Xenopus tropicalis: one gene and its partner. The protein of the gene in region 1 binds, or shares a complex with, the protein of each later gene. Links are inferred from orthologs where the notes say so. Each region holds a gene or a part of one and is shown in the gene's direction. Other genes may lie near its edges.

What was found. The genes of interacting proteins can lie anywhere in the genome.
Region 2: cnot10 (region 1) and cnot8 share a complex: the UniProt entries of both Homo sapiens proteins name them as parts of the CCR4-NOT complex. The link is inferred for Xenopus tropicalis from reciprocal best matches to the Homo sapiens genes CNOT10 and CNOT8.

What each region holds. Positions count from the first base shown.
Region 1 is NC_030682.2:50,188,935-50,193,023, forward strand, and holds the start of cnot10 (CCR4-NOT transcription complex subunit 10), read left to right. Parts: upstream 1-1,289; 5' UTR 1,290-1,396; intron 1,397-1,444; exon of another isoform or gene 1,445-1,464; intron 1,465-1,543; exon of another isoform or gene 1,544-1,562; intron 1,563-3,521; 5' UTR 3,522-3,626; coding exon 3,627-3,648; intron 3,649-4,089. UniProt on the Homo sapiens protein: Component of the CCR4-NOT complex which is one of the major cellular mRNA deadenylases and is linked to various cellular processes including bulk mRNA degradation, miRNA-mediated repression, translational repression during translational initiation and general transcription regulation.
Region 2 is NC_030679.2:19,855,632-19,859,716, forward strand, and holds the start of cnot8 (CCR4-NOT transcription complex subunit 8), read left to right. Parts: upstream 1-1,285; 5' UTR 1,286-1,369; intron 1,370-1,512; exon of another isoform or gene 1,513-1,536; intron 1,537-3,113; 5' UTR 3,114-3,201; coding exon 3,202-3,318; intron 3,319-4,085. UniProt on the Homo sapiens protein: Has 3'-5' poly(A) exoribonuclease activity for synthetic poly(A) RNA substrate. Its function seems to be partially redundant with that of CNOT7.

The sequences.
Region 1 (4,089 bases):
ATCAGGTCAGCCTAGCTGCTGATTGGTTCCTATCCTACAGTGCAGTGTACGGAGGGCCGCCGGCTCCCCTGCACATCCAGAGAACTCAGCCAGCAGGAAGTGGAACAGATGGGTGGGGCTAGTGAGGTTTTTGTGGAATTTCTCAATAAAACAGTCAGAAACACAACTTTTTAAACACAATCCTTCTATATCTAGAGGATTATAATTCACTGGTACATTCTTAATTTTTATAGGATATGTCTCCTTTCAAAAGCTTATTGTTGTGCCCGCACCTGGGGCCATTGTGTTGGCCAAGTGCAGGAACACAAAGCAGATTTTGCCCCTTTTTTGCATGCTTGCGCTCAGCCTGACACAGAAAAAAAAAATATAACTATATTACTATACTATAACTATATTACTATATACTAGCGAGTGAATCTAAACGTGTATGGGGACCTTTAGAGCCCAAGATGCTTCAGATAAATAATGGACCTCTAATCAGTTCAATTTGTGAAATTAATTATGATTAGTGCTTTATCCTACAATTTCTTTAAACGTGGGACAAACAAGAAAAACAATAATGATGACAATTTCACATCCTAGTTTCAAGAAACCTTTTTGAGTTTAGATCTAATTGGGAAAAGGGGCTCTGAAGGCGACAGGTACTATTGGTAACAGGGGGAAACAAGTACTTCTCTTGAAGAAATTATCAGACCAAGTGGCAGCATGCACAGTGGGAAGCAAATATGAAACTTTTTTTTTTATTTATTTTCTTTTATCGTTCTCACACAAACGTATACAGAGTGAGAAAACCCTTATTCTTTTGATACAGAACAGACTGAGTTAAAGGAACAGTAACACCAAAAAATGAAAGAGCTTTAAAGTAATAAAAATATAATGCACTGTTGCCCTGCACTGGTAACACTGGTCTGTTTGCTACAGTAACACTACTATAATTTATATAATAAGCTGCTGTGTAGCCCTGGGGGCAGCCATTCAAGCTGGAAAAAAGGAGAAAAGGCACAGGTTACATAGCAGATAACAGATAAGTTCTGTAGAATACAATAGTGTTTTATCTGTTATCTCCTATGTGCCTGTGCCTTTTCTCCTTTGAATGGCTGCCCCCATGGCTACATAGCAGCTTATTTATATAAATTATAGTAGACTTTCTGAAGTAAACACACAGCTTTTACCAGTGCAGGGCAGCAGCACATTATATTTTAGTTACTTTTATACACTTTCATTTTTTGGTGTTACTGTTCCTTTAAGGCGATTTGCTCTTCCCACAAGGCGGCTGCGTCATGCGTCATTGCGCTTACGTGATTGTGACGCTAATCTCGCGTAATGAGATTTGTGGCTTTGGGATTTTCTGTGAGGTTGGAGGCTAGAACGCTTCAATAACGATTTTGTGGGAAGTGTAAGTAGCGATTCGAGAGTGCGGGCTACGTTAGGGGATTCGGGGCTGTTGGGCTGTGCGAATGCTGTGTAAGGGAAGGAACATGCAGGCACCCTAGCGATCGCCCTCGCCAAGTCCACAGATCACTGACAGTATGGGGGGCGGTAATTCAAGTAAACTCAACACGGTCAGGCCCACCTTAATACCCAAAATCCACCAGTGCCAGGGCTACTGTCCCACCTCTAGAGGCGGCCATGGGGAAATAGATGGGGTGTTAGAAAGCGTGTAGTAGAGAGAGATGACACCGCACTGACGATTAGTTTGTGTTTTATTTAGACCTCAGAACTCTACTCTGATCAGTAACACCACATGAAGGAGAGTGAATGTGTATAAAGGGATAGCACATTGGGCACTTGCTTGAAGTAAAGCAGAGTGAATGTGTATAAAGGGATAGCACATTGGGCACTTGCTTGAAGTAAAAGAGAGTGAATGTGTATAAAGGGATAGCACATTGGGCACTTGCTTGAAGTAAAGGAGAGTGAATGTGTATAAAGGGATAGCACATTGGGCACTTGCTTGAAGTAAAGGAGAGTGAATGTGTATAAAGGGATAGCACATTGGGCACTTGCTTGAAGTAAAGGAGAGTGAATGTGTATAAAGGAATAGCACATTGGGCACTTGCTTGAAGTAAAGGAGAGTGAATGTGTATAAAGGGATAGCACATTGGGCACTTGCTTGAAGTAAAGGAGAGTGAATGTGTATAAAGGGATAGCACATTGGACACTTGCTTGAAGTAAAGGAGAGTGAATGTGTATAAAGGGATAGCACATTGGGCACTTGCTTGAAGTAAAGGAGAGTGAATGTGTATAAAGGGATAGCACATTGGGCACTTGCTTGAAGTAAAGGAGAGTGAATGTGTATAAAGGAATATCACATTGGGCACTTGCTTGAAGTAAAGGAGAGTGAATGTGTATAAAGGGATAGCACATTGGACACTTGCTTGAAGTAAAGGAGAGTGAATGTGTATAAAGGGATAGCACATTGGGCACTTGCTTGAAGTAAAGGAGAGTGAATGTGTATAAAGGGATAGCACATTGGGCACTTGCTTGAAGTAAAGGAGAGTGAATGTGTATAAAGGGATAGCACATTGGGCACTTGCTTGAAGTAAAGGAGAGTGAATGTGTATAAAGGGATAGCACATTGGGCACTTGCTTGAAGTAAAGGAGAGTGAATGTGTATAAAGGAATAGCACATTGGGCACTTGCTTGAAGTAAAGGAGAGTGAATGTGTATAAGGGAATAGCACATTGGACACTTGCTTGAAGTAAAGGAGAGTGAATGTGTATAAAGGAATAGCACATTGGGCACTTACTTGAAGTAAAGGAGAGTGAATGTGTATAAAGGAATAGCACATTGGACACTTCTGTAAAGCAATTGGTTTAGTTGCCTGCAGCATAACTCTGAAAATACTCAGCAGTCGCACAATCTGTGCAATGGGTCAGAGAATAGATCAGCCCTGTGTCTTATATTGTCAGCAACAGGGCTATATGTGGTGGCACCAAGCTGTCGTGAAGTTACTTGAGCATTGGTGAAATTAGATTTGGGAAAGGTGCTGGCATTGACAGGGAACTCATTCCTCTAGAATAATTAGATACAGAAGTGGAAGTCACTGATACATCATTATAATTTTTTTTTAAGTGTCTAGTGTGGTAGGTCCAAGCCAATAGTGAATCATGTGCTTCCATACCTGCTTTTTATATGTACTCTCATAATAATTACTGTGTTTTTAGTATTTGGTTGAATTAAAATGCATTGCCAAGCTGCCTGACACTGGTCTGAGGGAGACCACCATCATTGTTGCATCGCCAAATGAGCCAAGTACTATAACTGTTTGTTCTCAGCTGCTCCCCACATCTCAAATGTTTTTATTTGGTGCAGAGATTGGCTTGTTTGTGTTGAGATCAGTGAACGTATTAACAGGAAAGTAGACATCATCCTTCCTTGGGGGGTGCAGGCAAGGGCCCTTCTAAAAACCTTGTTGTTTTTTTTTTACCCTAAAAGTGAACTTCCTATTTAAAAGCCTAAGTATTCTGAACCTTGCTTTCAGCCAAAATGTGTTATTGAACTTTTTCTGCTTGTTGTCTCAGGAACAAGAATTGGAACAAGCAAACACTGAAGGACCATCTTGTTAGACTGGATTAAAAGAATTTACTCACAAAGGAGTCATACACTATATCAGAGAAGATTCAAGAATGGCTGCAGACAAAGCAGGAGGTAGGTGTTCTTTTACTGTGATGTTGTACTGCTGGTTTTATTGGAACATAACACAAATCACTTGTGCGCACACAATCACTCTACTATAAATAGGCTTTGATGCATTTGTTAAGATGACTTTTTTAAATGTTTCAAAGTGTAATTTTTAAATTGAAAAACATTTTAAAAAATATTTCTGATGTACTATTTGAAAACCTATAAACAGAAAATAGTGCTTCGGAGGTGACTTACGCCCTTTAAATGAATTACTATTCCCAGTTAAGAAAGGACACTGTAACCACCTCACAGCACACCTGGGTGCATGCAACATGTGCAAAATTGTAACCCATGCAAAAAATATGCAATAATGCGCCCTTCCTTTTGATAACTCTGCCCCACATGTCAAAAGTTGGCATACTGGCAAAAGATGCAATGGCACTCAGGGGCTGTAAACGGGACAAG
Region 2 (4,085 bases), on another chromosome or scaffold:
TTGTAACGCTCTCTGTAACGTTGCTGCACATGCACGAGTGCTCTTTTAAAGTTGCTAAATGCTGACTGTTTGCACATAATTTGCCAGAGAACCTGTAAAACCCAGGGGTAAAAGGTAAATTCCAACAAAATTGGGGGAGTTGAGAGTTATGCTTTTTAGGGTGAAGACACACTGAGCTACTAGTAGCAGCTTCTTTTTTGCACTACTAAACCCGAAAATCCCCTGCCATAGACAATACTGAGAATTGCCTCTGCTAAAACACACGTAGAGACAGTTATCAGTAAATGATCAGCACTGTCTATTTTAGTAGCCACGACAAGTAGCTGCTACTAGTAGCTCTGTGTGTCTTCACCCATATGAGGAGGGTTTATAACGTGGAGCCTGTGGGACTTCAAAATCTTCATTTTTGCATCTGGATTCAGAATGCAATGTAATGTAAATGTATAGAATTTTTACATTTTCCTTGTGCTTCTATATGGAAATAAGGGTTTGAAGCAATATCATGATAATGCAATATTTATAATTTTGAGATTCTACTCTCAAATATTATATTCAAATTCATACTTTAAAACTAAGTTTGGTTACTACAGTTAGAGTTATTACTACATACCAGGCTACTAGAAAGGAAATTGTGAAGGTAATTGCATTATTAATTGCTTTACTTCCACTTTCACCCCTAGGATCTCAGTAGTGTCAGTTTATACGCGTTTTGCACGTTTTCAATGCGTGATTAGTATACGGGTATAAATATACGTGTACATAACAAATTTCTTAACCAACAATTTTAAATTATATTATATCATATTTTATCATATGTTGACCAATACTGAATGTATAAGTTTTCAACGGCTGTTATTATTTGTACTGCAGATTATTTTTCTGCATAATGTAAATATTAATGTTTGAAAATATTTTAATGCCTTTATTTGGCTATAATGTTTAAAAAATCCCAATAAAAATGATTGAAACTACTTCCACTTTCGTCTTATTTACTTTTTGAGCTTATGTGCAACTTTTTTCTAGAATATAAATATCCTCCCCTTCAACACAATCCAATAACACAAATGGCATTTGAATACATAGTTCATAGTAATGCCTCACGAATTCTGCAAATCCAGTGCTGCGGCATAGCCTTCACGCATGCCCATTAGAGTCATTCAGTTTCCTTTCAACTGCGCATGCTCCGGGCCTACCTCGCTTGCTCGACTTCCTGGGTTCGGAACGCGTTTTTGATTGGCTTTTCGATCCTGACCATAGAGAGCAGTGGCTAGAGCGCCCGCCGAGTCAGCCATTGAACGTTACCGTAGAGTACGCACAAGTAGGAGATATACGTTCGTGCTGCCCTCTGCTTCGGGTCGGAGCCCGGGAGGTGAGATTGATCAGAAAGCCGGCTAAGGGGAGTTTTGTTTTTTAAATGCATCTGCTACGAACAGTACCCGGCAAGCGTCTCTCAAACCGTTTCCAGCCAATGTGCTGGAGACCTGCAGGATGGACATTTAAGATTTATTTCTAATATACGCTAGCCATCGGTAGCCTGTAGGCAACATCCTTATAAACCGCGTTTAATAATGTCATTACTTATAATCTGTGCTTAGTTCTTTAATTTGTGGAATGACTTACTGAAACTTGTGTCTTAGTCAGAATAGTTTATACTAGGTTGTAAGATATAAGGATATTAGGAGTCACAGTAAAGTTCCATAGACATATAAAGGAGCAATTGGCATATAACTCCTCCTTGGCTTCTAATATACTTATATTTTGCAACAGTAGGTGCATCATTTCCTATATTGTTAACAGGGAAATCTTACCACAAGGGAAGGGGGGTAGATAAATGTACAATGAATTTAAGAAATACTGTATTATTAAATGACAAAGCCAATGTTAATATATGTTTAATATATAGTGTGAAGGAAAAAAATGGCTCTTGTGTACTGTTACATGGGAGCCATACATATCCTGTAAATGATATCCTTATAAATGCTGCTTGGCAATTTAATTTCTGCCACATGGTTGCCAAAACTTGTGTCTTATAATTAAATACTTCTGTTGTAAAAAAGAAGGATATTAGAGGTCATCCCAGAGTAAAATGGCCTGTATAAAAGGACTTGGCCTTCGACCTCATGCTTTAATATAATTACATTTCTCAGTGACTTATAATATCCTTATATTTTACAATAGGGGGTACAATATTCATTATACACCATCTTCTGCAGTGAGATTATACATCATTCCCTGCCCCAGGGTACTTTCACATTCACATACAACGGTTTTCATTAGGGGCCAATTAACCTGCCTGTAGTTTTATTGCGGTGTGGAAGGAAACCACTGTAAGCATAAGGCAGTGCTGTGTCCATAAATGAACCAAGGACCTCAGGGCTGCAAGACAAAAGTGCTAACCACTGCAACAAAAATGTCCCAAGTTGTGTATTAGAACCAAAGGTAAGGTAAAAGTCAGTGGGGACCAATTAGCTAGTCACACCCAGTGAATACAATAGGTTACTTTTTACACCAGTCCGGCATTTCTCTATTGTAAAAAATGTTCTGGACTGCAGCCCCCCTACAACCAAGTTTTGAGCTTCTTAGTGAATTGTAGTAATCTGCGATCTAAACGACTGAGGCTTTTTTCTGTTGCTGATCTAAAGGGGTTAAACAAGGATGTCCTAATTGTGGCTGATCAGCCAAATTACTACTTAAAAGATGCTGGAGTTCTGCTTTGGCCAACTGACTGATTAAACTAAATATTTTATTGCATTAACTCCACACACCCTAACCATTGTGAAGTTGAAAAATGGACCAAATGGGATGAATAATCTATGTGCCCAGGCAGCTAACTCACCTGATGGATATGTAATATACTTATAGTGGTGTAGCAGTTTCATGAACTGTATTACTATAAATACTGCCAGGTGTTAGAATACTAATATACAAGGCAAGGCAAATGGTGGCAGGAGAACATTTCCCTGTATTCACCATCCGCAAGGCTAACAGGGTAGTGTTTCCCAGTGTTGCCTTTCCCTTACCTATAATTGTTTAATATGTCTTTTGATTGCAAATTCTTAATATGTTTGGGTTTCTGCAAGTTAACCTTAAAGTATATATTTTAAAATTTTTAGGTAAGAGACATCACCTCTGTCTGGGGAAAACACTGCTTGATTTTCTGTCTGTACCACACATCTCACTGGCCACCTTTCTGAATTCAAGATGCCTGCAGCAGTGGTAGATAATAGCCAAGTGATATGTGAGGTGTGGGCTGTCAACTTGGAGGAGGAGATGCATAAAATTAGAGAGCTTGTTCGCACTTATGGCTACATAGCAATGGTAAGTCTACATTAAACTGACACTTTGTCTGCGTGGGTATATTATTATATTACCCCCTTATCCCAGTTGCAATTGAGATGTATAGGGTTTTGGCTTTTGACAGGCCTATTGGGATTCATCAGGATTGCTGGTTGACTCTGACTAAAGGTGCCCATACACGTGAAGATTTGCTCGCTTGGCGATGTCGCCAAGCAAGCGGATCTTCACCTGATATCCCCACCTACGGGGGGGGAGATATCGGGGAACATGTAGGCTAATTTGATCCCTGGGGCCAAATGATTGAATTATAATGGCGGTCCCCGGTCCGACTAAATCTTTTAACCTGCCCGACCGTTGTTTCTGCCCCTACATGGCCTACAGTCGGGCCGTGTATGTGGACCTTCACTCTTTTTTGTGCACAAGTAGTGTCTGTGATCATAAGCCTTAAGTCTGTTTTAAGTATAAGTAGGGCTTGTGTCAAAAATGCATTGTGCACATTCCTTTAATACAAAAATATAATCAAGAGAGTTATAGAGATATAAAGGAAAATAACAACATATGTATAATTTAACCCCACCCTATCCCACAATGCTGCCTATGTAATATGCTAAGAGAAGGAGTTTGTTCTCTATACAGGAGTTTAACTGGTACAGGTGGTAACTACCCCTTTCCACAGCTGCTCTGAAGATCTTAGTAGGTAGGATCGAGTGTAAAGGTCAATGTGCCACAATGTATTTAGAGCCCTATTTATTGGATTTATATTGAACTTGGGTACATTTGTAAGCTTA